Linked DNA regions of Nothobranchius furzeri. The protein of the gene in region 2 purifies or fractionates together with the protein of the main gene of each other region. This does not show direct contact. Links are inferred from orthologs where the notes say so. Each region holds a gene or a part of one and is shown on either strand. Other genes may lie near its edges.

Evidence for each region.
Region 1: the proteins of pds5a (region 2) and wapla purify together in Homo sapiens (affinity purification with mass spectrometry; 6 studies listed by BioGRID and IntAct, with this or other methods). This does not show direct contact. The link is inferred for Nothobranchius furzeri from reciprocal best matches to the Homo sapiens genes PDS5A and WAPL.
Region 3: the proteins of pds5a (region 2) and smc3 purify together in Homo sapiens (affinity purification with western blotting; 8 studies listed by BioGRID and IntAct, with this or other methods). This does not show direct contact. The link is inferred for Nothobranchius furzeri from reciprocal best matches to the Homo sapiens genes PDS5A and SMC3.
Region 4: the proteins of pds5a (region 2) and cdca5 purify together in Homo sapiens (affinity purification with mass spectrometry; 4 studies listed by BioGRID and IntAct, with this or other methods). This does not show direct contact. The link is inferred for Nothobranchius furzeri from reciprocal best matches to the Homo sapiens genes PDS5A and CDCA5.

Annotation. Positions count from the first base shown.
Region 1 is NC_091752.1:29,577,923-29,585,929, reverse strand, and holds the start of wapla (wings apart-like protein homolog), read right to left. Parts: upstream 3,987-8,007; 5' UTR 3,774-3,986; intron 2,813-3,773; 5' UTR 2,787-2,812; coding exon 2,399-2,786; intron 1,774-2,398; coding exon 1,071-1,773; intron 936-1,070; coding exon 634-935; intron 560-633; coding exon 429-559; intron 1-428. Other genes in the region: serine protease HTRA1A, read right to left, coding at 7,596-7,764. UniProt on the Homo sapiens protein: Regulator of sister chromatid cohesion in mitosis which negatively regulates cohesin association with chromatin. Involved in both sister chromatid cohesion during interphase and sister-chromatid resolution during early stages of mitosis.
Region 2 is NC_091747.1:79,465,374-79,472,675, reverse strand, and holds part of pds5a (sister chromatid cohesion protein PDS5 homolog A), read left to right. Parts: intron 1-17; coding exon 18-157; intron 158-659; coding exon 660-775; intron 776-1,151; coding exon 1,152-1,257; intron 1,258-1,333; coding exon 1,334-1,494; intron 1,495-1,664; coding exon 1,665-1,788; intron 1,789-1,899; coding exon 1,900-2,058; intron 2,059-2,294; coding exon 2,295-2,363; intron 2,364-2,465; coding exon 2,466-2,602; intron 2,603-2,691; coding exon 2,692-2,815; intron 2,816-3,034; coding exon 3,035-3,239; intron 3,240-3,315; coding exon 3,316-3,430; intron 3,431-3,563; coding exon 3,564-3,696; intron 3,697-3,853; coding exon 3,854-3,973; intron 3,974-4,177; coding exon 4,178-4,240; intron 4,241-5,110; coding exon 5,111-5,244; intron 5,245-5,331; coding exon of another isoform or gene 5,332-5,581; exon of another isoform or gene 5,582-5,691; intron 5,692-6,528; coding exon 6,529-6,598; intron 6,599-6,685; coding exon 6,686-6,945; intron 6,946-7,302. UniProt on the Homo sapiens protein: Probable regulator of sister chromatid cohesion in mitosis which may stabilize cohesin complex association with chromatin. May couple sister chromatid cohesion during mitosis to DNA replication.
Region 3 is NC_091744.1:4,680,213-4,687,514, forward strand, and holds part of smc3 (structural maintenance of chromosomes protein 3), read right to left. Parts: intron 6,939-7,302; coding exon 6,858-6,938; intron 6,514-6,857; coding exon 6,349-6,513; intron 3,183-6,348; coding exon 3,061-3,182; intron 2,757-3,060; coding exon 2,543-2,756; intron 2,339-2,542; coding exon 2,235-2,338; intron 813-2,234; coding exon 713-812; intron 1-712. UniProt on the Homo sapiens protein: Central component of cohesin, a complex required for chromosome cohesion during the cell cycle. The cohesin complex may form a large proteinaceous ring within which sister chromatids can be trapped.
Region 4 is NC_091759.1:26,794,665-26,801,635, forward strand, and holds cdca5 (sororin), read right to left. Parts: upstream 4,205-6,971; coding exon 3,452-4,204; 3' UTR 3,010-3,451; downstream 1-3,009. UniProt on the Homo sapiens protein: Regulator of sister chromatid cohesion in mitosis stabilizing cohesin complex association with chromatin. May antagonize the action of WAPL which stimulates cohesin dissociation from chromatin.

The DNA.
Region 1 (8,007 bases), on a different chromosome or scaffold from region 2:
GCAGGCTGTTCCCTGTTGGACTTAGTAAAGTGAAGCTGACATGCCAACGCTGCAGTCTGCTTCCAGCATGTTTCCTGCATGTTTTAGATCATGAACACGGCTGATTTTTTTCATTTAGTGATAAATCACTCCTGTAGAAACTAATGAAGTCTGAGGAGACATTTCAGCGGTTAGATTAGGTTGTTAAAAAGACAAACACACAACAAGGAGATCAGTTTGCCTTTTGATTTCCTTAACAAACACTAGGTGGTGCTAAAGCAACCCAAAACTGCACAGTATCCCTTTCATTCAACACGTAAATATGAGATTGATTAGATGAAATGAAGTCCAAATGGACTATGGCTGCTCAGTATTGTAATCTGGTACCTTAATCTGATTACAAACAATTCAAAGAAATTTGGAACAAAAAAAATAAAAAAAAAAAATACCTTTTTGGGTCCACTAAATATCTTTTTTAACCCACAGATGGAATCCTTGGATTTGTCACCCGCCTTCGTCGGTCGTCCTTTCGGTCCATCGACGCCAGCGGGGCTGGAGTCGTCAGAGAACTCAAAAGCATCTACTTGACACATCCCAGGGAGTTATTTATAAAACTCAGTGATCTCAAAAGTAGATAACTTTTCATCTGCTCACCTGTGTTGCTGCTGGCTTGACTGTCCTGAGAATCACTCGTGTGAGGACTGTCCACCCCGGAGCTCAGGGAAGCTAAAGCTGCCTTCTTGGCCCTTTTCTCTTTGACCTGAGAGCTCTCGTCATCGCTGTCGCTCTCGCTCAGGTCATCAAAGCCAAAATACTTGATCTTGTAGCTGCTCTTTCCTGGCATTCCACTCTCCGAGCTCTCCTCTTCCTGCTCACCATCTTCCGCCTCAAAGCCAAAGAACTCCAGTTTTGTCTCCGTTTTAGTCTTTTTTACCTTTGCTTGGGTGGGTCTAAACCTAAAAGGATTAATTTATTAACAACAGTAAATTTAGAAATAAAGTATTTGTCCAATCTCTTTGAAACAGACTGAATACTAACATCACAACTTTATGAATCATTTTAAAATGCTGACAGATAAAAACACATCTTACCGAGTAGATTTAGGTGGCTGTGCATCAGACTTCTTCTTCATAAGCCCTGCTTCTCCAAGGTCAGCGGGGGTAGCCGGGGGGACTAACTCATCAACGCTCCGCTCAATTGAGTCCTGGATAGTAACGTTGCACACTGACACGCAGGAGGGATGCAGAACTGTGTAGTCTCGCACCCTCCCACCACCTCTGCCTGCAGGCTTAGCTGCTGTTTTAACACTGGCAGCAGTATTAGTTGCACTAGCAGAAAGGACACTGTTGGTTTTATCTTGAACACTCGCTATGTCGGTCAGCTTCTCGTTGTCGTTTTCAGCAACTTCAGATAGAATTTTATCAGGCCGACTGGGCCGCTGGTATTTCTTGCAGTTTGAGGCTCTTAGAGTGAATGGCGATGGGGGAATGTTGTCTACTGGCTCTGGTGGAGGCTCCATGGGCACCACCATCTTTAGTTCCTCTGATAAAGATCCATCACAGGAGGAAGGAGTTTGAAAGTGTTTGCTACCTCCTGGCGCATCAGCTGACAGTTTGAGGGAGGAGTCTAAACCAGAAGTAGAGGAAGCAGCTGTCTGCGACACGGAGATGTTCTGGTTTTGAGAAAGAACCGTGTCTGAAAACGAGGTCGGGCATGCTGGTTTCTGATTGCTTTCTAATGCACTTTTGTACCAGGGCTGGTTGTTTTTAACATTCTTCTCTGATGGTTGGTTACCTAAAAGTGTAAAGAAATTTATGAGTGATCATAGTAAAAGACCAGGACTAGAGGCAGACTGATATGTTTATATTTATCTAAAGCTGATTATTAAGGCTGATATATGTATGTGTATATATATATATATATATATATATATATATATATATATATATATATATATATATATATATATATATGTATATATATATATATATATATATATAGATATATATGTATATATACACGTTTTAGCAGCACAATGATTGTGAAAGACACCTGAACATTCACTGTGTGCAATATATAATACTCTCAATATTTATTGAACTTCAAATACAAAACAAACTCAAAATATTAAAAAAAAAATTAATAAATAAGTGTGTTGGGGTCCTTTCTTCAGCCTAGTAGTGGCAGTAGTTGGCCACACAGGTGCCTGATTGTTTTTTTGTTGGCTTTTAAAAATAGTTTCGGCTAATGGCCGATACAGTACAGAAAAAATTTAATATATTGGCCCGATATATAGTTTGGTCTCGAACCAGAACTGATAATATAGAAGTCACAACTGAGTGTAAGAATTGGAATAAAAAATAGAGACAAAGATAGTGAAAAGAAAATGATGCAACATAAAACATTTTTTGTCACTCACTTGCGAATGTAGCAGGTATACTTGCAGAGCCTTGTGTGGCAGTCACAACAGCAGCAGTTACTCTACTTTGCACTTGAGCAGTTTCTGTCACCCCCTCCTCTATGAGTTTCGCACCAGACTCACTGTGAGAGGCTACAGTTTTAGACTCTTCATCGCTGTCAAACCCAAATGGGTCTTCTTCATTGTCACTGTCCTCAAGCCTGGGTCTCTTTGAGACCTCAGGGACACCGGGTTTTAAGAGAGGCCTTTTGGTTCCCAGCTGAGCCTTGTATGTAGTTTCTCCCCATTTGGTGGACAGAGAGGGCTTTTTATTGGAAAAGACTTCTTCAAACTTTGAATTTGCCTCCCCTCCCTTGCGGTTGTATGTTTTACCAAATCTTGATGTCATGCTGGTTGTTGTTTGTTACATATTCTCTGTAAATAAAGGTAAAGACCATTCAATATTTAACACATGCATTAAGTTAACAACATGATCATTTGAACCTTCACATACAAGCACATCTAAAAGAACAAAAATGATCTTAGATGTTTTTAAATTAAGTTTATGAAAAAAGCTGCATGTGTCACAAGATGCTTACTAGTTTCTTTTTCCAAATAATGTTCAGACTTCAGCTGTTATCTCAAACTTTTTCTTACTCTGGTTAAAACTGGGGTCATTTATGCGTTGAGGGTAAATTAAAACACATTTTACAAACTATAAACAACTAGACTTTTATTTATAGAGAGAATTACCTAAATGTCAACAATCGATCCATTCGTTCTTTGACTTTCTCACAAAAAACTACCCGGTCTTGTTCGTTATCTTATTCTGAAGGTCCTAATGGGATTTCAATGTATATGTCCTAGATAAGTTTTATAACAAGACACTTCAGAAATCGATATATTTACTAATGTTATTGATTTTACTTGCTAACCGACAGGTAAAAAAATATATACACTTAAAATGCTTTCAAAATATTGCCTGCAAGTTTTAGTTGAGTCAACTGATAGTTGCTAGCATACAAAGTTAGCATTGCTAGCTCTAGCTTCGAATGTCGTTTGTCTAGGTTACACGAGAGAAAAAGGATTTTGATAAACTTTCATTAAACTTGGGAGTTAAATACACGGCCTTTTGTCACACATTAGCCGTGTAGGTAACTTGTCTCTGCCTGATAACTAGTTAGGCATGCATGTAAAGTTAACTACTGTGAAGTTAGCTATTAGCTTCCGCACAGCTAACTACGCTAACCTGACTCTTGTTTACATTTCTAACATGGCTCCATTTTAAGCATGAAACTCCGTATTTCAAACACGACCAAGCACCCATAAGGTAGCTTTTAGTATTGGCATCTAATATGATATTCAGTATAAAGCAAAAGCAAAGAAGACTTTCTACCTTTCAACTCCAGCTAATCGTCTCGTCTCCAGACAGCCGGCGAGGCCTAACCAGCTACTCACGCACAAATCAAGCGGGTAAAGTCCGTTCAGAGCAACGGAAAAGGCACTACAAACACATTTCTAATTTAATGATGTTTTAGATGTTGCGTTTATTGCGAAAGAAAGGCGTTCTAAAATGTATAGGAAGCTGTACTTGTCTAAATATAGCTGATAATCCGGAGTTTTTGTATTTTTTAAGTGCAAGTGACGGCCATTAAAATATCCCCTCCCTCCTCGATGGTTGGAAAGACATCCTAATCACGTACTACATTGTTGAAAAAAAACTGTCCAATCAGCAGCAGGAACACTCCCCTGTGCCTCGAGACTGTGTCAACATACGCGTCTCTGATTGGTTTAAATTTTAAAGTAAAACCAGGCTGACAGGGGGCGCTGCAGGATCACGTTCAGTTTTAAAGTTGGACACCGTGCCGAGTAATGCAGGTAACGATGCTACATGCAGAAAATTGCTAAATTGGGGTTTAAAGCTTGCAAATGGTTTTAAACCATGGTGATTTTACTCTATGGTAGATGTTTTTTTCAAATATTATTAATGATGAACTATTGCCCACCTAGGGTTGTAAAACAGCAGTCAAAAGAGTAAGTGTTGGTTACCTAAAGTTCTTTGATTGTTTTGTTTACCAAAATGCAAGTCATTCACCAGAACCACTCTGTAGGGGGCACAACTGGAATATAAATACAACTTAAGCCCTGGGTCAGCAAGACAAAGTGGTCACAACTACATCAACACTAAAATGACCATCACTCATCCTAGACATACATGATAACTCCTTCAGGTCACAGGTCCTCTGTGGAAACGACTCAGAAAGAAGGTGATTCTAATTTCACATGAGCGCCGTTCAAAAAGTTATTTAGGACTTAAAGTTGTATTATTCCTCACATGAAGAAAAATAAATAATGCATTTTCTGTATATGAAAGATAAATATGTTGTGGGATCTCTGTTGTCCCCCAGAAGCGAATGTGCACATTAAAGTGGCAACACCTTTTTAAGGTGTCTGGTTTCCAGAAGAGTCATAGATCACAGTTTGACCAAAGATTTTCTCAGTCACAGAATTGTTTTTGTAACTGTCCAACATTTACTAAAAACATTGCTGTATCCAAACGGTGTTAGATTCACATATTTCTGGCATTTGTCTACAGCTAGACCCAGAGAGGAGCTGTCAGTTCACATCAGGGTCCCAGAGATGGTGATGCAATACAGACATGGCATGTATAATGAACTCGTGGTTTGGCAGTCTGGCAGTTATGACTTTATTTGGAGGAAAGCTTGAGTCCAGTTTTTAAAATGTGTGTGATAATCTGAATATTTTGTAGGCTTTGATCAAATAAGTCAGGGATCTGTGCCACGGTAAAGCCAAATAACAGAGTTTAGTGTCTGCTCCAACCTTTTGAGACTGAATCAAGATCCGTAAAATCGACAATTGCAACTCTGAGACAGAACCAGCAGATGGCAGCAATACTAACGGTTTCTCATGTATAAGCTGAGCATTTTCCCCTATTTAGTGTCTACTTAGGCTGCATTTCATGTTCTGCTTCTGTTTCCAAATACCTAAACTCATCTAGTGCATATTGCATTGTAAAAAAAAAAAAAAGAATGTCCAGTGAATTCCAAAAATAATATCTGGTCATTAATCATGGAAGCTAACCATCAACGGAAAGCCCCTCTCTGTAGTAAAGCTTCCAAATGGAAACAAAAAGATGGATGACCGTCCAATGGTTGTTAAGAGACTTGGTCTGCAGCTCAAATGTGAAAACTGGGAAGCAAACTGCTGAATCCTACCAAATTTCCTCCATTTGCTTTTAACCAAGATGTTTAAATGCACTCAGTTTTGGCTTGCTTTTAGCACCCCCTAGTGTCCATTTGTAGAACCAAAAACAAAACATACCTCCTTGCTATGCATTCGCCTTTTTAACACCTTAATCTAACAGCTGACATGTCTCCCCAGCTTTTATTAGTGTATATAGAAGTGATTCATCAATAAATTAAATCAGCTGTGTTCATGATTAAATCATGCAGGAAACATTCTGGAACCAGACTGCAGCGCCAGGTATGTCAGTTCCTTTTTCTTAGGCCCTGTCTACACGTAGCCGGGGATCTGCCAAAACTTAGATATTATTCTACATTTTGGCTTGTCATCCACACGAAAACGGATCTTTTTAAAAACTCCGGCCAAAGTGAAGATCTGCGTTTTCTCCGTTTTGGGTGTCTGCGTGTGGACAGACAAAACCGGAGTTTTAAGCTCCGCAACGTCACTTTCCGGGACAAAAAAATGCTGACATCACGTGTGCAACCTGTGCTTACACTAGCCGACAGCATGGATGCCCTCAGAGCTGCGCTCGCTTTATCAATTGTCCAAGCGCTTTTTGCTTGTTTGTTTTTGCAAGCGGAATTACTGCTCCTTGCGGAAGACCACAGACGAAGGACGAGGTTAAGAACGGGGGAAGTACTGCCGCCTACAGGTCTGGCATGTCCTTAACAACGTATTTATCCGGGTACGTGTGGACAGAGTTTGTTTTTAAAACGCGGTGGTGTGGATGCAAGTTTTTGGAGGGGCGGATATTCGTTTAAAAAAAAATGGCTACGTGTGGACTAGGCCCAAGTCCCAACAGACCTGACCGGCACTCTGGAGTTGCAAGTGTGATATTCTGGCCACAGGGGGTGATGGGGGCTGTGTGGTCTTTCATGAAAAAAGATCATAGAGTATAAAAAGGGTCATTTTAGCACATACTCTCTCAAGAAAATGATTTAAATATATAAAAACGTTGTAAAGTATATCTTTAAAGAGTGGAAGTTTCAAACCAGACACAATACATCTGATTAGTTAAAAATAAATGAAAAGAAAAGCTCCTGAAGGATTTTACTCAAAGGAGTCTATAAAGCTGTTTGTGCAGTCTGTGCTGGTCTCCATAGTTCTCCACAAGGATTGCTTTATCATCTTTTTCCAACATTTATGTGGTGAACAAATCTCTTTTACAAAGAATCGAGCGTGTTTATCCAAACCCCACATCTGCATCGAGGGTCAGATCTCCGTTTGGCTCACGCTTCTGTCTCTGAGGTCAGCCTGCACAGCCCCTGGCTCAACAACACCAGACTGCTATCAAGCCCATATGAAGGCAATAAAAACAAATTCAAAACAGATTCCAATTGGCCTCCAGCCCCCTTCCTCTGTGTGTATTACACATGAACGCTGCACGTGCAAAGATAATATTGATACGATCAGCTTGGGTGCCGTTTCTCTAACACTCAACGGAGAGAATTGAAGTGAAAAAGAATTGAAGACTTGCATATGGAAAAATGTAGGTTTTATTTATTTTTGTCAGTAATACATCACATAATTAACAAAAATGTTGTTCAGTACTTTTAAAAAGAGGGATTCAAAGAAACAATCATAAAAATCAGATTTGCTCAGTGAGTCTCTAAAAAGCAGTTTTGGGTTAATGTCCATATAAAAAAAAGACAAAAATTAAGAAAACATTGCCATATAAAACATTTTTTATGTTTGTGACCAAACAGTAGTAGCATTAATGAACACATCAAGGACTAAAAGTAAAAACACAAATAGAAAACGAAGTACAGCCCCGCTTTCAGAGCAGCCGTACCGTCGTTTTTTCAAGGCAAAGCCAGATCTTTCCTGGAAGTGTGGTGCCACTGGGACTTTGGCCTCAATGGTGGGGAGGGGAGTCAGCGGAAAACCCATCCCAAGGTCCGCTGATGACGAGTTCAACCAAACTCCAGCTCCCTGATGCAGGATTTACGAGGAGTCAAGGATCGATCTCCACTGGAACGACGGTGAGGATGGCGTCCTCGTTGCCACGGCGAACCACCACTTTTAAGATGTTCTCCCTCTTGATGACGGTGCTGACATCAGTCGCTGTGGAGATCCGCTGGCCGTTGATGGAGATGATGACGTCGTGCTCTTTAAGTCCACCGCTGGGAGGAGCAAAACAGAATGACTTATTGAGCGTTTCAGAAATTGGAAGCACATGTTGTTAGGAGCAACGAGAGGTTCACAGGTCTGACGAGCTGAGTGACATGACAGTTTGGTGCCAACAAGGTAAATGAGACGGGATGAGTCGGCCAATAGCTTTTTATTTCATTTTCTACCACTTTTACCCTCATTTCCAGCCACTTTTGCACCAATATTTGCAAAAATAACACAAAAAAATTGAAAAG
Region 2 (7,302 bases):
TTTATTGATGTTTGCAGAGAACCTACCAGATGCTGGGAAGGCCCAGGACTTCATGAAGAAGTTCAATCAGGTTCTCAGTGAGGATGAGAAGCTCAGAGTCCAGCTGGAGATGCTGATCAGTCCAACCTGCTCCTGCAAACAGGCCGAGATCTGTGTGGTGAGACGAGGCTCTCTAGCTGTGGATTACATCCAATTCAACGTGCACAAAGCAGAAACCTAATTCAGATTCTGAGTTTCATAGGTCAAGTTTTTTTTTATCATGCAATAATTAGTATGAATGCTTACAGGGGGTACGAAAAGAATTCAGACCCCAATCAAGTTTTCACTCTTTGTTATATTGCAGCCATTTGCTTAAATCTGTTAAATAAATTATTTTCCTCATTTATGTGCACACAACACCCCATATTGACAGAAAAACACAGAATATTAGACATTTCTGCAGATTTATAAAAAAAAAATAAACCTGAAATATCACATGGTCTTAAGTATTCAGACCCTTTACTCAGGATTTAGTAGAAGCACCCTTTGACCTAGTACAGCCGTGAGTCTTCCTGGTAAAGATGCATCAAGTTTCTTACACCTGGATTTGGGGATCTTCTGCCATTGAATACTTTCTGTACCCGCTGTATATTTACTGTTTCCTATTTCTACTTGTGCAGAGGGAGATTACTCGTAAGCTGACATTCCCCAAACAGCCCACCAACCCTTTCCTGGAGATGGTAAAGTTCCTGCTGGAGCGGATCGCACCGGTTCACATCGACTCCGAGGCAATCAGGTCGGAGAAAATCCTCAAAGATTAAGACAACAATACTAGAACTGGCTTGTTTTATGTTGCGGTGATTTTAAGTTTTTTAATTTTATTGAGGTGAACATTTTTTATTTAAATGTGTTTTTAAATTCTAGTTTTAGTTTTCAATCACAGAAAAGAGAAACTGTGTCTTCAGGTTTCTGAACCTGAGTGCTTAATGTGTGTGTGTGTGTGGTTGCATAACACTGAGCTATCATCATTCACTGAGCCACCTAGCGGTGGTCATGTGCAACTGCAACTCCAGTCTCCGCTCCTCTTTAACCCTTTCATCTTTTTGGGAAACCACACTAATAAATGAGTCCAGACACACGTGTGGATTAGGGATGTTGTGTTTTTGGTTCAGTGCTCTGGTGAAGCTGCTAAACAAATCCATCGAGGGAACAGCGGATGATGACGAGGAAGGCGTCACCCCTGATACAGCCATCCGCTCCGGACTGGAGCTACTCAAGGTTTGATCGAAACCAGAGAAAACCTTGAAATGGCCCTTTACAGTTGGATAATTAATGAGTTTCCCTCTGCTTTCAGGTCCTGTCATTTACACACCCCACAGCCTTTCACTCGGCTGAGACCTACGAGTCACTGCTGCAGTGTCTAAAGATGGAGGATGACAAAGTGGCAGAAGCAGCCATCCAGATTTTCAGGAATACCGGGCAGAAGATTGAGACAGAGCTGCAACAGATTCGATCGTAAGAAGATGGATGCGTTGATCCTTTCATGTGTTTGTGTTCTAAATAATTGACGCTTAGTTGGATTTGACACAGGTTTCCTCAGTTTGACAAGATTGTCCATTAAAAGAACATTAAGATGCCTCTGTGAGAATGAACATGTAAATGAAAGATTTCCTGTTGTTCTTCAGGACACTGATTCCCATCCTGCACCAGAAGGCCAAACGAGGAACACCTCACCAGGCCAAGCAGGCGGTCCACTGTATCCATGCTATTTTCAACAACAAGGAAGTGCAACTGGCACAGATTTTTGAAGTAGGGAATAATTTCATGTTGGTCTGTAGGGATCAAACTTTTCATGTTAAGTGTTTTTATTGGTGTCACCAGACCGTTTATGTGTCAGGATGTGTTCATCTTCCTCCACAGCCTCTGTCACACAGTCTGAACGCCGACGTCCCGGAGCAGCTCATCACTCCTCTCGTCTCCCTGGGCCATATAGCCATGCTGGCTCCAGATCAGTTTGCATCACCGATGAAATCCATTGTGGCTAACTTCATCGTGAAAGACTTGCTCATGAATGACAGGGTGTGTGCAGCAGCCATCCTTTCACCTAAATCAGGAGTCACACACACACACAAGGCATCAGGAGTCACTTTTTTTTTTTTTACCTGTCTGGCCCGTTTAGCTTTAAGCTTTAGCATCTTTTTTTAAGTTGTTACAAACTGCATTTTACTGGGCAAATACATACAGCTGTAAATAAATGACATGTGTGTTTGTTTACATAAAGAAAGCAAAGATGTGGTTTATCTCTGTGTCTTCAGTCAGTGGGAAACAAGAACGGGAAGCTATGGACCGCTGATGAGGAAGTTTCTCCTGAGGTCTTAGCAAAGGTACCTGATTACAGATTGCTGTTTGGGCCCTTTTTAAAATATTAACAAACAGATGTTAAGTGTCACAAGAAACAAAAGACACGTTTCCCCTCTGTCCTCCAGGTCCATGCCATCAAGCTTTTGGTGCGCTGGTTACTGGGAATGAAGAACAACCAATCCAAATCGGCGAACTCCACCCTGCGCCTGCTGTCGGCGATGCTCGTCAGCGAGGGAGACCTGACGGAGCAGAAGAAAATCAGGTAGCTCAGCTGAGCTCTCAGTCACGTGTGGCAGCCATCATTCCCCATGAGACTCCAGACTTTAGCTGCTTCTGTCCTCTTTCTCCCAGTAAATCGGACATGTCTCGTCTGAGGCTGGCTGCTGGGGCGGCCATCATGAAGCTGGCGCAGGAACAATGTTACCATGAAATCATCACACCAGAACAGTTTCAGCTCTGCGGCCTCGTCATCAATGTCAGCGTCACTTTTACAAATATTTTTCATTCCGTAGTTTATTGGACTCTAGCGTTCTTAAAACGTAAACAACCAAGTGATGGATGCATCTTAAGGCATGCTGAATCATTTCACACAAGTCCCACAATGTGCTGTGAAAACAACTTTCTTACAGCCAGATGTCTAAAACATGAGCTCCATGTGAGCAGTTGGTCTCATGAGCATCTTAACTCTCCACAGGACGAGTGCTACCAGGTTCGTCAGATCTTTGCACAGAAGTTGCACGTAGCTCTGGTCAAGCTGCTGCTGCCCCTGGAGTACTTGGCCGTTTTTGCTCTGTGTGCCAAGGACCCGGTGAAGGAGCGGCGGGCCCACGCCCGACAGTGCCTCCTCAAGAATATCTCCGTCCGCAGAGAGTACATCAAGCAGAACCCCGTCACTCAGGGTCTGTGGTCATAATTCATAATTCAGCTGATGTCTCTGGTTGTTCTCATTAAAAGGAATTTTCATTTTCCCACCAGAAAAACTCATCTCCCTTCTTCCTGAATACGTGGTTCCTTACATGATCCACCTGCTGGCCCACGACCCAGACTTCACCAAACCGCATGAATACGAACAGCTGAAAGACATTAAAGAGTGAGTGTGTGTTGTGTTTGTGTCGAGCTGAACGTGTGTGTTTCAAACACGGCTTTTTTTGTTGTGAATCCTGAAAACCAGACAAATGTGGTTTAGCTACAGCTTGAATCCTTTTACGCTTTGCTTTCTTCAGGTGCCTGTGGTTCATGTTAGAAGTCCTGATGACCAAGAATGAGAACAACAGCCACGCTTTCCTTCGGAAGATGGTCGAGAACATCAAGCAGACAAAGGACGCTCAGTGTCCTGAGGATGTGAAGGCCAATGAGGTGTTTGGCACATGTGACGTTAAAAGATTTAATCTGGTGTTGTAACGGGCAAGCAGAATGTGGAAGTCTGACATTTAACACATCCATTTTTGTGAAAGCAGGAAGTTGATTTGTTTACTTTCAAATGATTCTTACCGGGAATCTTGTGACCTTACAGAAACTGTACATCGTCTGTGACGTTGCACTATTCGTCATCGCTAACAAGAGCACCGCGTGTCACCTGGACTGCCAGAAAGAGCCAGTCTTACCCTCAAAGTTCTTCCTTGTACAGGACAAGGTCATACCACACACACACACACACACACACAGAGATGTACATTATATAGTGTGCTCATAATGTTTTGGGACCTTAAGCCATTTCTAACACTAAATGCATGTTGTCATAACATTTCAAATCCTAGTGTGTGCGTGTGCGTGCTTGTACGTGTGTGTAAATAGATGGAGAGAGAGAAAATAATGATTTTGTAATTTTCCTTGTCAGGATTTCAAAAACGATAAGGAGTACCTCACGGCAGAGATGAGACAGATGCTGCTCACTGGAAAGGTAAACGATCAACACTGGAGTGTAAATCTTGACACGAGTTACTCTAGTTTTCAACTTATGGGAAGTTTAATTTGGAATAGCTCGGCAGCAGTAGTTCAGGAGGTTGAGCGGGTTGTCAAGTAATCAGGCTCCTGTCAGAGAATGCTGCTGTTGTGTCCCTGGGCAAGGCACTTAACCCTCCTTGCCTGTAGGTGGTGGTTAGAGGGACCGGTGACGCCTATGTTTGGCAGTCTTGCTTCTGTCATTGCGTCCCAAGGCAGTTGTGGCTACATTGTAGCTCATCATCTCTCTCTGTGTGTGTGTGTGTGTGTGTGTGTGTGTGTGTGTGTGTGTGTGTGTGTGTGTGTGTGTGTGTGTGTGTGTGTGTGTGTGTGTGTGTGTGTGTGTGTGTGTGTCACTCTAGTTTATCATCTCAGCTGGTTCTGATTACAAAAAGGAAACTTGTTGCCGTGTTTACTTTATTTTTTAAATAGTTGCAGGCCGGAGCACGGCTGCAACTCCCCACTCCTCCCTCTGTTGCACCAAGGCGTAATATGCGTTCACAAGTCTGGCATTGCGGTAATATGATTACCAAGCATGGCGGCATGAATGCCACAAAACTCCCGCTACGCCATGCCGCCACGTCACATGCATGACACGCCGTGGCGGCAGTGTTATGCGGATTTGCCGGCATGGTGTCTTCTAAAAAGGACTTCAGATTGATAGGTTGTGAGATGGAAAACATTTGCAACAGCACTGTTTTGTTAGGTGAATATTTACTGTGGGGTGCTTGTTTTAAATTGGAACCGGTAAACTTTGACAGAATTATATTTGAAACAAAAACCAATGATGCATTTTAAAAGTTTGGTTTTAATGTTTTTTATCCTGCAGCCAAAACCAGCTCCAGTGTTGGCCGCTGTCAACAAACCTCTGACAGTACCAGGGCGGAGGATCTTCAAGACCCCCACAGCTTCTGACACATCCAGTAATACAAGCACCAACGCCTCTCCTATCATCAAGAATAGGTAAGCACACACACACACGCACACACACACACACCCACCACCTTTGCCTAACCAGAACTGCCCAGTGCTGTCCTCTTGGTCCACCAGGCAATCCCTCCTGTTGGTGCAATTTTCAAACAGGAAGTGTGAGTGGAGTTGGATTCTGGTAGGGGGTGATTTGCTCTTTAAGCTCAAAACCAGTGGATTGTCAGACTTCGCACCTACAACACTGAGTGCATATCCATGTCTTCAACCAACCACTTACCACCACAGCACTGTAAATTATCAGACCGACACTACTGACATAGGGAGAACCACACCACCCATCTTATGGAGGACAGACTCGAAGCTTTGTTAAACTTACCACTTCGCTCAACTGTGGCACCACTCATTGTCAGTTTCACATGGACAGTTACGAGAGAGAGAGAGAGAGAGAGAGAGAGAGAGAGAGAGAGAGAGAGAGAGAGAGAGAGAGAGAGAGAGAGAGAGAGAGAGAGAGAGAGAGAGAGAGAGAGAGAGAGAGAGAGAGAGAGAGAGAGAGAGAGAGAGAGAGAGAGAGAGAGAGAGAGAGAGAGAGAGAGAGAGAGAGAGAGAGAGAGAGAGAGAGAGAGAGAGAGAGAGAGAGAGAGAGAGAGAGAGAGAGAGAGAGAGAGAGAGAGAGAGAGAGAGAGAGAGAGAGAGAGAGAGAGAGAGAGAGAGAGAGAGAGAGAGAGAGAGAGAGAGAGAGAGAGAGAGAGAGAGAGAGAGAGAGAGAGAGAGAGAGAGAGAGAGAGAGACCCTCATATTTGTCTCTGTTCTCTCTGATTTCAATAATCTCTTGGTCTCCAGTATTATGATTTTGACTACAACACTATTAATTCTTTTTCTGTCTTTCCAATTGATCAATCAAACCCAATTATTATGCAAAAAGAAAGCTGGGATGCTTAAAATTGGCTTTTTACCAGTGCACCCTAAATATTATAAGACTCTTAAATTATGATACCGTTATGAACAGAGATCTTTTATATAGCGCCTCTCAACATAACGATCATGAGGCGCTTCATGAAAACAAAAAAATTAAGATATTAATATTTCTAAAAATGATAAAAAATGATCATCTACCTGATGTGATGACTTATACAAAAGCAGTTTTTCTACTGTTTGTATTATTTTGACCAAAATAACAATCCCGGGCAAGCCCTCAATTTTTCACGCCTGGCTCTGGTGTCCACGACTAAAATTACAACATTCAATCAAACTGTTGAATCAAGCTGTTGATAGCTCAGTCATAAAACTATTTGTTTCATTTACTTTGTTTTACAACAGCACTACTACAGAATCATCAGAGAGTCGAGCGCAGGAGAACAACGAGAACCCGGTCATCAAAAACGAAGAGGTGAAAAAGATAAACGCAGATGGGTGCAAAATATTTCCTAACTTCACTCCTCGTTCTCCTAACTCGACATTTGTCGTTGTCATTCAGGATGCATCCGATCAGAAATCAACCCCCGACACTGGGACCGATGGGTCACCTGTCAAACGGCGTGGCCGGCCTCCTAAAGCTGTGGCTGCTGCTTCTGCAGGAGCAGAAAAAGAGGGCACGGTGCCGTCAGCGGGGGCTGGAGGTGGCCGAGGAAGGAAGAGAGCAACTGATGCGTCTGCAGACCCCCTCAACATCAAGATGTCAAAACAGCAGCTGCAGCAGAACGATGAAGGGACAAAGAGACAGATTGATCTGCAGAGGTAAAAGTGCAAAATGCCGGATCTCAGCAGCTTGAATTGTTGTTTCTCAGCAGATGATTCTTTATAAGCAAACAGGCGTGCCTGAAAAAGAGAAGGGATTGGAGGATTTTCCAACTTCAGCTCAGTGGAACAAAACTTTTAAGGGCAGTTTTAATATCTAACTGAAATCTAAGCTTGACATAGACAGGAAGTAAGAGGGTCTTTTGTTTTCTGCAGCCTCTACTAGGGCCAGATTTTAATCACAATTACCATCTGGGTTTTGAACAATAACAAAACGAGCTGATTATTTGTTCCTCCCTCATGTGCTGCTCTGAGTTGCAAATCAAGCGCATCTCCCACAGTGTTACCAAATGTGTC
Region 3 (7,302 bases), on a different chromosome or scaffold from region 2:
TCTAGGAATCCGGCTAAAGTTAGCCACAGTAAAGTAGCATCCAGTAGCACAAAGCACATCTAAAAAGAAGCCATTGTGACATCACAACAAAATCAGATTAGGAAATGTCAATCTCAATACGACGATGCACTAAAATGAACCATGAGCTGCAAATAGAGTCCATCAAACAGCAAATCGGCTGAATCAGATGGAACCAACAAGAGAAGAGCAACCACACGTTTGTCCAAGCAGCCTGTTTTCATCACAGCAGACGTTATTCAAAGGCAATATATGACTGATGTCTGCGCCCAGAAGAAGTGACCTGACGAGGCAGGAAGGAGTGAGTCATATGTAAATTTAGCAAGTTATCATAAGGTGGAAGTAGCGAGGCCGATGAATTCCATTTGATTTACCTATTCTGACAACTGGGTGAGTCACAAAGAGTCTGCAGCATTCAGATGGGCTTGCAGGGAGAGCGAAGCTCTTCTCTTGGGACTCAAACACTCAGTTTTATATGCTAAAACTACCCTGATGTGATAGTTCCACCCGATGAAAAAGGGGATATTTGTGCATGAAGTAAAGTCCCATGCATTCGTTATTGCGTCCAATCAGCTGGAAGCTCCTTTGCTTTCGGAGTGCAGATGTCTCACTGCTGCCCAGGTGGAAGTATTGGTTATCCTGTAGCTCCATTATGCAAGTTGATAATCACGCAGTCCTGCAGAGTGACACAGACCTTGCCGGTGGCCGCTCTAAGAAGCTGCTGCTTCTTTTCCAGGTCCTCTCGTTTGGCTGCCAAAGCCTGCTGCTCCGCGTTCTCCTCACGCCACAGGTAGCTGGACAGAATCAGACAGTCGCAACCTGTTATGCTTATGTCACTAGAGGCGCAGAAGCCCGAGTTGAGCCTTGATATTCACTCCTTGTAACCTGGGGGGTCATGTTTATGGGTTTTTAAAGAGGATAGAAGGAAATTATGCTTTTAACAAAAAAGTTTCTCATTTTTAAATTTAGGACTAAATTCTCACAAGGTTCCAACTGCTCATTTTTCCCGGATCGTTCAAAGTTTTTTGTTTATTCCTAGAATGCAGACGGAAGAGGAATCCGCGGCCGATCTCCGTGAAAAATAAACGTGATCTGCAAATTGTGATCAACGCTTTGCAGAGCTGATCACACGAGCTGTCTGTGTGCAGCACCGAGTCCCCCCCCCGACCCAGTGGCCAGATATAAACAAACGCATCTGCTGAACTTTAACTCCGTAATGTAAACTTTAATTCCTGCAGCGTAGAGGAAACATGTTAAATACATCAACACGGTGGATTTAATAGAAGTTTTAAAGAACAAACTCTGGACGGTGTGAGGTGAGTTTGTCTCACTGCAGAAATAAAAACACACACGGAGCGTCAGCAGTCAGACGCAGCCGCTCACCAACACTCGTGTGTGTGTGTGTGTGCGTGTGTGTGTGAGCGTCAGAAGGCTGAACAATAACCAGTAGAATAAGTCATCATGCTAGAGCAGCTTCTCTGTGGTGGACCACACCAGCTTCTGCCACAATAAATAATTATAATAATAATAAATAAAAAAATTTATTTCCTTTCTGAACTATTTCTGTTGCGTTTTAATGTTTAAAATCTGTTAGATTGTTACTGACAGCAGCTACATTTAAGTTTCACTTTCTGTTCTGACTGAATGCTGCTGCAGGTAGGAAAACAGCTGGATGTTCCTGGACACGTTGGAGACATTTAGCCTCTCATCCCAGACGCTTCTTCCAGACTTTGGTTGTGGTCAGAAACAAACACACTGGTTGTGCTGCAAGTCTTTTTCTTCCCTCCAAAACACGTTTCTGTCTAAATGAAGGTGATGTTATTGTTCATAGAATTAAAACTCATGTTGAAGTTAAGATTATTTCATCAAGTAGGACCTGTGGTTAGCTGGCTCATGTAAAACATGGAATGTCTTGAAAGAATCGGAATCGGGAATCGATAGGAACCGGAATCGAAACGGGGAATTGGAATTGGAATCGTTCAAAATCAAACGATGCCCAACCCTATTTGTAAATTGAGGAAAAAATGTATGCCCTTGTGTATTAAGTATGTCAGACAACATTTTACTTTTGGGTTGAATATCCCTTTAAATGTGCTCTTAAACTCTCAGTCACGGGTTTACAGGAGAAATTCAGGTAGACAGGAACTGCCTCATACACCGAGTCAACGACGGTTATTTATAAAATCTGACGTTAAGGTAAATATGAGGTGACTTACTTTCTTTCGCTTTGGAGTTCATCTTTTTTGTTCTTCACTTCGTAATATTTTTTGTCCAGCTCCTCGACGCGGGTTTTGACCTCATTCAGATCTTGATCAAGTTTCTGAAGTCACAAGTAAAAAGTGGGTCAGACAAAGTTGAACCAGAAAAACTAGAGAATATTTTAGCATTTTGAATCAATACAAATGAACAATCTTGGTGTCTGTTTAAGCTACATGAAGCTGATTAAAAGGCACAAGTAGGACAAAGGGTGATTGGTTTAGTGTTTTAGAACCAAAATGATCCAGGAACAGTCGAGTCGTCTTACATTGTACTGCTCAAGGTTCTTCTCCTTGTTCATCTCCGTGTCCTCCAGGTCTTTGTGGATGGCTGCGATCTGCCTTTTTTTGTCATTGATGGCCTGGTCCAGAGACTTCAGCTCCTTCTTGATCCACTTGTCCCTCTCCTCCTTGGAGGTGAACTGACTGCCACGACCCTGCTTAGCATACAGGTCGGTCCTCTCTTGTGTAGCTTGAGCCAGTCTGAGAAGAACCACATCCAAAGCTGTTCATAGACATTTGACAGCAACAATCCTTCCCAATCAGGATATTTATCCTTGAGAGTTAAGCTAATTAATTCTGTATGATATGGAACTATACACATGAATAAACAAGAACATTCTTGTGTTTGAGCTTTTGAAGTGAAAACACTTAAAACAAAAATCGCATTACTTGCATTTAAAACATGAAAACAGGACACTTTGCAGAAGATTAGTCAAATCTGATGCTCCAGTGTGATGACTGACTCATCAAGTGTGCCGTGTAGATAAGAATGACTCATCCCTACCTGGAGATGCCGCGCTCCTCCTTTTCCTTCACCATGTTGAATTTGGGTTCAGTCTCCTGCAACTCTTTTTGCTTCTCCTCAATTTTCTCCAGCAGTTTCTGACGCTCCTTCAGCAGTCGTTTCTGAAAGAACAGGAGAGCTTTAGCAAATGTTTGGCCAACAAAACAGAAGATGCGTAATGTGCCAAGTTAGTAAAGTGTAAGCTGTCTGCATCACTAGAATACACTCATAATGCCCCGCTCACCGCAGACTGCTCTTCCCTCCACATCCAATAACATTTGAAATGAGTCAATGAGAGCTTATAGATGGTAAATAACTGATGGACCAGCAAAGAAAAACTACATTTTATTTAGATTAATTTAGTTTTTGCAAGAAAATCATGAAAGAAAGTGCACCTATCTGCAAAAAGGAGCATGTTTTATAGTAAGGGCATTATTTGTGCTTGGAGAAGTGCACGCGCACACACACACACACACACACACACACACACACACACATGCACACACACAAATAATTATTTTCCATATCATCCACACCGACCCTGCTCCAGTAAAAATATATTTTTTCCCCTTTCCTGGATCAACCACTTCAAAGTTGATCAAACATACAACTAGAGCGGCCTTTCCTTTTGCCCTGGCGCCTTTTGGCGAGTGTTGGGTCAGCCATGGCCAGGTGGGCTTAATCCAACCACCAGCCAGCAGGCTGCCTGTGACCCAACATAGTTCATACACAGACTGAGCCAAGAAAACCTTTGATTATGGTCTTTGTACTCACACGTGCTCACAGACATTAAACACAAGGCCATATGGACACCGAGCTCAGCCAACTGAGTACATAAAAACAGAAGCCAAGAAGGATGGACGGTGAAGCTGATGGAGATGATTCATTTTACATCCTAAGTCATCACACGGGGATTCTCACTTTTTGACTGAAAAAGATACACAGACACTTTTTATCAAGCAGCAACGTCTAAACCAGGGGTCGGCAACCTTTCCCCATCAAAGAGACATTATTACCCATTTCCCACAGTAAAGAAAACACTGGGAGCCGCAGCGTTGTGGGCGGGGCCTACCCTCTGACAGCAGAGAACTGCTTTAACCGATCACAACAGGTGACAGCAACCAATACCAGTCGCTCATGTGCCTCAAAGTTATCTTTCAACAGAAGATAATTAATAAAACAGTTTGTATAAAATTGATCCAAAAGTTGAAGCCCGTCTGTGCTACAATATTTCGATTTTTTTCACCCTGCTAGTGGTTTTAATAGTTGAGCAGGTGACGCTTTTTGAGGCATCACACATCAGGGTTTCCCTTACATAGGCGTAGCCGTGGCGGCCCGCCACAGCTGAAATCCCACCGCCACGCCTACAAGATCCCAAGTTTGTTTTTTTTTGCGCCGTTTCCCGAAGAAGCAGCAGGAACTACTATGTTGTTGCTTGTGATCACAGCCGGCGGGCAGCAAGGAGGAGCAGGCAGGGCAAGGTGAAGTTACAGCATAAGTTACTGAGTTTAAAATTAGAATGGTAGCAGTGGATATAATGCTTTTTGGTTTACATGTTTCAATAGCATTAAGATAAACGAGTGTTGACGATCTTGACAGGGTTTCCTCCCCCCACCAGGCTAAGCATCACTTATTCATGTAAAATTGATTTATTTTTTCATGTCTGACTTTAACCGCATCTAATACTGTATTACGGCGTGAGCGCAACAGCGACAACTTAAGATCGATGTGTGAGCAGCCTGGGAGGTCAAGTGTTTTCATCTGAACCCTTAAAACCTCCAGCAGGCTACGTTGCACTATTGACGTGTTAGCGTGCGGCGCTAACAACTTAGCGACGTGACATGTCTCGGAGAAAGCGTAAAAACACGTTGGACGCTTCTTCTGAAGCAGGAAAATAACACTTCTTCTTAAGCAGAGCACGACGTCGCCTCGGCTCGTTCACGGCCGAGCCGGACTGAGCTCGATAACATTGACTCAGCACAGTCACTGGGTCGTTGGAGCTGCCCCGTGACTGCCTGATGGAAAACCAGCGGGTTTCATCAGACTTGTAAAGTTTCTTGTTTTTGCTGGGGACCCCCTGTATTTTACCGCTCCCTCCTGCAGTCTTCCCCTGTTAACATTTAAAATGATTCTGTAAATTACGTGTATCAATAGAAAAAATCTCTACCTCTGCCAGCTGCAGCAAATGTAGTCTCCAAATAATAAATAAGAGGTGCATTCATCTGTGTATCTCCTTTGATCTGCATTAGTGATGTTCTCAGCACCAGAACAGTGAAGCAAAGAAACAGATTCCTGAGTTCGTTAGTAATTTTATTTATTAGATGCATCTGACCTGTTCTATTTTTCTCTGAAATGAGATCAAATCAGTGCTTCTATGGGTTGTCTCCACACTGTACTAGAAAATTTTACTTTAATTAGAGACGTGTCATAATTCCTCCCCATGCCGGGCACGGGCAATAAGCTTTGCTTTTTGAACAAAATCAGCTGAGAAGGCAAACTGGAGCGTTGCAGCACTCCGTGAGCGTCTCTCTGTTAGAGCAGAAGCTCAGATCATCAGAGACTGCACAGGGACTGATGGGGACAGACATCTTTACGGGCGACTTGTTAAAAAACTTTAACGATCTTTTTATAATATATATTATATAATCTTTTATACAAAGGACACAATTGCGCCACATTACCGCCACGGTCTGACAACTTAACCTAAGGCTCCCTGATGCCAACACAGCGCTGCGGCAAATTGACAGAATTGTTTTGTAAAAACGGCTAGAGTATTTGTTTTATGTTTCACTGGGTTGTTAACAAGCAAATGCCAACCCTAATTTCCAACTTGTCTCAGCCATAATCATAAAAAGCCCGCATGTGCATAACCACCTCCTCTGCAGAGGCAGCTGAAGCACAGCAGAGAGGGAGGGGATAAGCATCATATGAACAATAATCGCCTTTTTCTAAAAAAAACTGATGCCTTACCTAAACTCAGCCACCTCCCTTCTAAGGTTTAACGTGTTCATCTGGTCTTGTTTTTAAATCACCTTAACAATTCATTCATTTAGAAGGCGGTAAACTACATTAATTTCACCACTATAAGTTACGGTGCTCATTCTAAACCTTTTATTAGCCTCTCAACAAACTGAAAGCTAATCTATGATAAGCAGCTGCTGGGGTGAAAATGTGCTTGGAAAGAGTAAAGACTGCAGACTCAGTAATAGTGAAGAGGATGGAGGAGAGGGGAGCGGTGTTGGTGCATCATCACGTGTGGAGCGTGACGCAGATCCGAGGCTTCCGTACCCTCTGTTCGCTGTTGCCTGCCAGCTCATCCTGCAGGTCCTTGGCCTTCAACTCCAGCTTGGTCCTCTGCTTGATCTGCTCTTGGCGCTCTGCTGATAGCTGCTCTCTCTCCTCCTTCATAGCGGAGATTTTGGACTTCAGCTCACGCACAACGCGCTCCGTCTCCTAAAACACGGCAACCAAAAGTTTAAAAGGGACAGGTTTCTTCACAAAACAAGCAGAAAAGAAAACGCCTACAAAGAATTGTGGGAGACATATTTACTTTCCACATAACCAAATACTAACAGCTACATGTAACAAAGTATGTAAATTATTGTAGTTTTATTTTTTATTAATGCTAAAATAATTCAAACTGAGAACCAACTAAATAATCAATAGTTTTACTGAGTAAACAAAAACATGTTTAAAGGACGACTGCTGCAGTTATTTTCCTTATCTTTCCTCCATCAGCTCAAAACTCCACTTATGCATCCTAATATTAATAACAGTGTGAGATTTTTCTCTTTTACCTCCACTTTGTCTCGAGCGTCTTGCTGAGCGTCTCGCAGCTGTCTGGATTTGTCTCCACATGTCTCTCTCTTGCTGGACAACTGGAGAAAACCCAAACAAAACACAAGTCTTAGAATAGAATCAATAAAAGCTAAATCAGTAAGTTCTGTAAACAGTTCCATCACTACCTTGATTCTTTGTTATTTTTTTTAAATAATTTGTCTTTTCTTTGTTCTTGTGAAGCGTCTCAGGAATATGGAGAGGAGCGATTACAGAAATCAGTTCTTCCTCTTCAACGTTTAGCTACTAAAACTTAACTATAACATTAAAGTTCAGTAGATGATATGAATATCTTCTACAATGGAAATGTTGTTTTTGCTCATTTATCATCTTTACAACCCTCTAAAACAGGGGTCACCAACCTAGGTGAAGCTGAGAGCTACTTCACAATTATCGAGCCGTTGG
Region 4 (6,971 bases), on a different chromosome or scaffold from region 2:
CCGCTCAGCTAAAACTAAACTCCCTACCCGCTGAGCTAACACTAAACTCCCTACCCGCTGAGCTAAAACTAAACTCCCTACTCGCTGAGCTAAAACTAAACTCCCTACCCGCTGAGCTAACACTAAACTCCCTACCAGCTCAGCTAAAACTAAACTCCCTACCCGCTGAGCTAAAACTAAACTCCCTACCCGCTGAGCTAAAACTAAACTCCCTACCCGCTGAGCTAAAACTAAACTCCCTACCCGCTGAGCTAAAACTAAACTCCCTACCCGCTGAGCTAAAACTAAACTCCCTACCAGCTGAGCTAAAACTAAACTCCCTACCCGCTCAGCTAAAACTAAACTCCCTACCCGCTCAGCTAAAACTAAACTCCCTACCCGCTGAGCTAAAACTAAACTCCCTACCCGCTGAGCTAAAACTAAACTCCCTACCCGCTGAGCTAAAACTAAACTCCCTACCAGCTGAGCTAAAACTAAACTCCCTACCCGCTCAGCTAAAACTAAACTCCCTACCCGCTCAGCTAAAACTAAACTCCCTACCCGCTGAGCTAAAACTAAACTCCCTACCCGCTCAGCTCACACTAAACTCCCTACCCGCTCAGCTAAAACTAAACTCCCTACCCGCTCAGCTAAAACTAAACTCCCTACCCGCTGAGCTAAAACTAAACTCCCTACCCGCTGAGCTAAAACTAAACTCCCTACCCGCTGAGCTAAAACTAAACTCCCTACCCGCTCAGCTAAAACTAAACTCCCTACCCGCTGAGCTAACACTAAACTCCCTACCCGCTGAGCTAAAACTAAACTCCCTACCCGCTGAGCTAAAACTAAACTCCCTACCCGCTGAGCTAACACTAAACTCCCTACCAGCTCAGCTAAAACTAAACTCCCTACCCGCTGAGCTAAAACTAAACTCCCTACCCGCTGAGCTAAAACTAAACTCCCTACCCGCTGAGCTAAAACTAAACTCCCTACCCGCTGAGCTAAAACTAAACTCCCTACCCGCTGAGCTAAAACTAAACTCCCTACCCGCTGAGCTAAAACTAAACTCCCTACCCGCTGAGCTAAAACTAAACTCCCTACCCGCTCAGCTAACACTAAACTCCCTACCCGCTGAGCTAAAACTAAACTCCCTACCCGCTCAGCTAAAACTAAACTCCCTACCCGCTCAGCTAAAACTAAACTCCCTACCCGCTCAGCTAAAACTAAACTCCCTACCCACTGAGCTAAAACTAAACTCCCTACCCGCTCAGCTAAAACTAAACTCCCTACCCGCTGAGCTAAAACTAAACTCCCTACCCGCTGAGCTAAAACTAAACTCCCTACCCGCTGAGCTAAAACTAAACTACCTACCCGCTGAGCTAAAACTAAACTCCCTACCCGCTGAGCTAAAACTAAACTCCCTACCCGCTGAGCTAACACTAAACTCCCTACCCGCTGAGCTAACACTAAACTCCCTACCCGCTGAGCTAAAACTAAACTCCCTACCCGCTGAGCTAAAACTAAACTCCCTACCCGCTGAGCTAAAACTAAACTCCCTACCCGCTGAGCTAAAACTAAACTCCCTACCCGCTGAGCTAAAACTAAACTCCCTACCCGCTGAGCTAAAACTAAACTCCCTACCCGCTGAGCTAACACTAAACTCCCTACCCGCTGAGCTAAAACTAAACTCCCTACCCGCTGAGCTAAAACTAAACTCCCTACCCGCTGAGCTAAAACTAAACTCCCTACCCGCTGAGCTAAAACTAAACTCCCTACCCGCTGAGAGTATGTTTCTAACAAAGGACTCAAAAAAAGGCTAAAGTCTAAAGAACAATGTCCACATGAATAGTTTTAAACTCGTTTAATCTGCTGTTTAAAGAGCAAGTCACCCCCCCACAAGAAACTTACTTCACTCCCACTTCATGTTTGAAAAATGCAACACATGCTGTTGCCTAGCAGACCGAGAGGGTGGAGCCGCCAACAAATACACACACACTCAGGCTCACAATGGCATTGTGACATCATAATGTACCAGTTTACATCATAGCATACCTCTTAGCCAATAGCGGTGGCAGATTTAAATTCAAATGCAGTGCAGTTTTTACCTGACGATGGCACAACACTGCCAGTTTTAGGTAGAATATTTAAATTTTAACTAAGATGCACTGAAGTGCCAAATTATTGACGACACGTGTCTGCAGCACGATTAGACACTCGTTTATTTAGTTTATCAGCAAAAAAAGTTGATTTGGGGGTGACTTGCTCTTTAAGTAGCCTTTTATTTTTAGAAAATGTTTGTAATTTTAATTGTTTTTCTTTGATTTGATTATTTAAATGTGTTCTACCTTTTACAAAAGGTGTCTGTGGACAAGTGCTGCAAATTAGCATTCATGCTAACACACTGAAACCATGCATCTGGTTTGTCTGATGTAATTGCTGTCCATATCACACACACACGGTGTTTTAGGGTTTGAATCTTGTCTTTAGCTTCAGCCTCTGTTAACCGAGGTCAGCTGTTGGTTTCTACCTAAATTCATTCATTCATAGTAAAGCGCTGGATTAAGTCCTCTGAACGGACCAGGTGTTCACTGAGAGACACAATGATGTGAATTACAGTAAATGTGTTATCTACATTCACCCTTTCATCAGTACCAGGGTTGTTTATATTTAAATTAATGCTGTCAGGTAAAGTGCTGATGTCATGGAGTGTGTGACCAATCGTGTGTTCTGGTCTGAAGTTTGGTTTTAAACACAGTAAATGTGTGATCATGGTCAATGTTGTTGTTTGTGTTTAACACTAACCCAGACTAACTGTAGCCCAGATTAACTATAACCCAGGTTAACTGTAGCCCAGACTAACTATAACCCAGGTTAACTGTAGCCCAGACTAACTATAACCCAGGTTAACTGTAGCCCAGACTAACTATAACCCAGGTTAACTGTAGCCCAGATTAACTATAACCCAGGTTAACTGTAGCCCAGATTAACTCTAATCTGAAGTGACGTGTGAACAGGTCAACAGGCAGGGTGCTTGCTTCAGTGTGGGTTTATTAGGAAGCAGAAAGGAAAACTGACAGGAAAACCTGGAAAAGTCCAACAAAAAACTCCACAAAGCCAGAAAAGCAGCTTTAACCTGAAGTCAGTTCAACTCTGTCAGCAGAGACGTTCTGGTTCTGGTTCGGTTCTACTGGGCTCGTGTTGTTTCTCTGGTTTATTCAGTAAAGAATACTGCATCAGAACCGGTCTGGGATCTGATCAGAACCGCTTAACCAGAACAAAGTCCGTTTTGATTTATCCAGAACTCTCAAGCTACAGAGCCGACACAGGAAGTCCAAATGGACCGAACCATGATGGTGTAGAGAAAAAAACCTTCACGAGCTACATATACAATCCATCAAGAGTCCCGGACGTATTTACACCCCCACCACCCCTCCAGTCAAAGATCCATACGCTGGTTCTGGTGGGTTCGGTTCTACTCCACCACCAACTCGAACTCCTCGGCCTCCCGGAACTCCGCGTTCATCTGAGCGGCCAGATGGTCCAGCTCGGCCGAGTCAATCTGCGGCACCTTCCGCCTCCTCCTCCGCTCCTTTGACACCGACACTCCGGGGATGTTCGGGTCCGGTTCAGCAAAGCCCTCGTCGGTCGATTCAGTGAAAGACGTGATGGGTCCAGAAACTTCCAGAGCGTCCCTGGTCTGCTTGGACTTCCGGACAACCTCCGGGGTCCTCAGCCTCTCGAAGCCGAATAACGTTTCTCTGGAGTCGGGGCTACTGTGGAGGGAACTGTCGCTGAGCCTGCTATAGGACCGGCGGGCTTTCTGCGCACACACGCCGGCCTCTGGTTCAGCAGCCGGCTGCTGGGTCCGACAGGAGTCCGGTGGGGAGGACGGGAGGATCCGTGAGGGCATGGGCGCCTGCTGCTTCTTCCTCGCGGCGGAGGAGGAGGCCCTGCGGTCCGGGCCGGGATCGGGGGTTGAGACTTTGGTCTTCAGCTGCTGTACCTGCTCGGAGTGCCTCGGCGTGTTCTCCTTGTTGTGTTTAGACGAAGCGCTCGTTTTTCTGGGCGCTATTTTCCGCACGGTGATGGAGCGTTTAATTCCCAGCGCCATCTTCTCACCTCCCAGCGGAGCTTGCGGAGAACTGAACCGCGGCGAGCGTCTTCGCTGCGGCCCGAGAGGACCGTTAGCTCCCGCCATCGCCCCATGAGGCGAGCCTTCGTCCATGCTGAAATCTGCCCACTAACAGCGAATTATTCACTCGGTTTCGATTGAATCTCCTCCGGTTGCTCAAACAACGGCGCCACTTTCGAAATTACCCGCTCGAGTCGCACGGTGATGACGACAACATCATCGTGACTCTAACAAGCCGCGCCAGTGGAAGAGCAAAGTTTTTGCTGTGTAATCCGGACGCTTGACGCTCATACTTGACTGCTGTCTCACCTGATTTTCACCGTTATTCCGTGTTGGTTCGGTTGGAGACGATGGAATATTTAATCGGTATACAGGGACCGGATTTCGTTCTCGTCGCAGCCGATAATGTGGCCGCCAGCAGCATCATTCAGATGAAACACGGTGTGTTAGCTACCTAGCTTAGCATTAGCTCTTCTCTCATTTGATTCTGTTTCTGTTTGTCAGACGCGTGTCTGCGTATAAGTCTTTATATTTTAGGATTTGCTGTTTCATTCTAACGCATTAATGACCATTTGTCACATTTTATTTGCCAAAGGAGATTAAAAAGTAAGACAATAAAGCCATTACCGGCCAATGAGAGGTACGATGAGCCTTTTAGAAATCAAACTTAGCTTCTGAGTTTAGTTCTGAGCTTTAGGATGTTTATATGCTTTATTCTAGCCTGCTAAATCTCGTGGTGAGCGACCCCGGCGGTGAAAGTGAAAGTCCGGTTGTGTTCAACAGAAACCAAATCAAACTGGTTCTGATCTAAAACAGTGCACATGTGTTACTGATCGTTGTTTAAAGTTAGATGTAAATGAATCTGATCTGAAGGGATGCTTCAGTCCAACCTCCTGGTTCTTTTTCAAAGTGATGTTTTCTCATCACTCGCCTGAATCCGGACCTGGTTTCTGTTTTTGGGGCGACTGGTGCTGACATCTGGCTTTTTTCAGAGGATGACTTTCACACTGAGTTTTGTTCTTTGGTGTCTCAGATTATGACAAAATGTTCAAGCTGAGTGAAAAGATCCTGCTGCTGTGTGTCGGAGAGGCCGGAGACACGGTGCAGTTCGCGGAGTACATCCAGAAGAACGTTCAGCTGTACAAGATGAGAAATGGTATGATGTGGTTGTGGCGCTCTTCCTTAGTTTCACCGTTTGTCACCAACAATTACTGATGCTTGTTTCCTGGTTTTAGGTTATGAACTCAGTCCAACAGCAGCAGCAAACTTCACACGGAAGAACCTTGCAGATTATCTCCGGAGCAGGGTTGGTATTCTGCACCACCGCTTTAAACAACTGTAATTATAATAATCTGTAAAAGTACGATTTTTACCGCTGGGGTGAAAATCCCGGTTTTTCTTGACTCCAGCGATGAGTCGGCTAAACCGCTGGCTGTTGAACCAGGTTTCTGTCCATGTTTTAGAAACGGCATGTTGCCCAGCGCTGCGCTAGTAGGAGGAAGCTGAAAACTTTGTGTGACATGTTTTCAGCAGTAAATCCTGTTGGATTGGGACTTGTTGTTGATGACCTGTTTTAGCCGACCAACGGTGTAACATTTACTTGTTTTCTATTGACCCTTTGCACCAACGCCACCTAATCACGTGAGTCGACCATATTGGTCTGCAAAAGCACGTGAACAGTGAGCGACACGAGTACTAAACAAGGGGAAATGTGGAGCCTGAAATTGTGTTTCATTGTAGTTGTTTGTTGCCACATTTAGCGTTCCTTCTACTGGTCCAAGCCCAGTTTGGTTACAGAAGAAGTGGCGCACCTGGGTGGGGCTCAGCGAGAGTGGCCTTTACTAAAGCTCCGTGTTAACCGCTTACAGACGTTAGCTGAAGTTCCGTCTGCGGCCGTTAGCCGGTGGAAACAAGGTGCAGACTTTGCCGAAACTCACCTAGCTGGCTTCATAACTGTTTAAAACGTCGTTTCACTTTACACTTTAAGAAGTCCGGATCCTGCTGGTGGTGGTGTCACGGTTCAGCCGCTGCTCTCACACCGGGTTCACACAAGGTATCACTCAACAGTGACGCTCGCACTAAAGAAACTAATGTTAACACGTCATCTAACGTTGGAGCAGTAATATTGTAAATAATCATCTACAGTGGACAGTACCACACGTCCTCCATGGTGAAGTGTCCATCCATAGTAAACACATCACATCTGTCCCCGTCTTCCTCATTGGCCGACACTGGCAGAGTTCGCCCCGCTGGATTTATAACGCCGTGTGATAAAAAGCAACGTTCCGCTGCTGTTTCTTACCAGTATCAGCTGATGGAGGGCTTTAGTTGTGTTGCGCCGTTCGTGTCAGCGGACACGGTAGGGGCGGGGCCTGACGCTTAGCCTGGCGGGCCGCCGGGCTTCTAAAGCGCTGGGGGAACCCTGCGTTCTTTCATAATCTGTTGTGGAATTGTGGACGGCAGACGCTTTTCCGCTTCGCGCCTCACTTTTTTTACAGGAACGGCCCAAAACGATCTCCTGACACAAGGATTTTCTGCTTCTTGATCACGTGACGTATGCGGATGAAGATCGGCTTTAGAGCTGAGATGTTTGTTCTCTCGGCGCGGGGGCTCGTCCGACGCCCACACACTAAAAACATGCATATGACGTCTTTAGTCGTCAGTGGCAGTGAACGAGTTAATACAAATGCTGCAGTCAGGCGGAGCTAGGCACCTAAAACCAAACATGACTTGTTCACAAGAGGCATGGTGGCCAGGTTGAAGCGCTTCATCTTCCAATCATAACTCAGGAGATAGCAGGAGACACCAAGGCACGCCTCTGTAGCACGGCTGCTCCAGTCAGGGACCATGACAGCTCTGA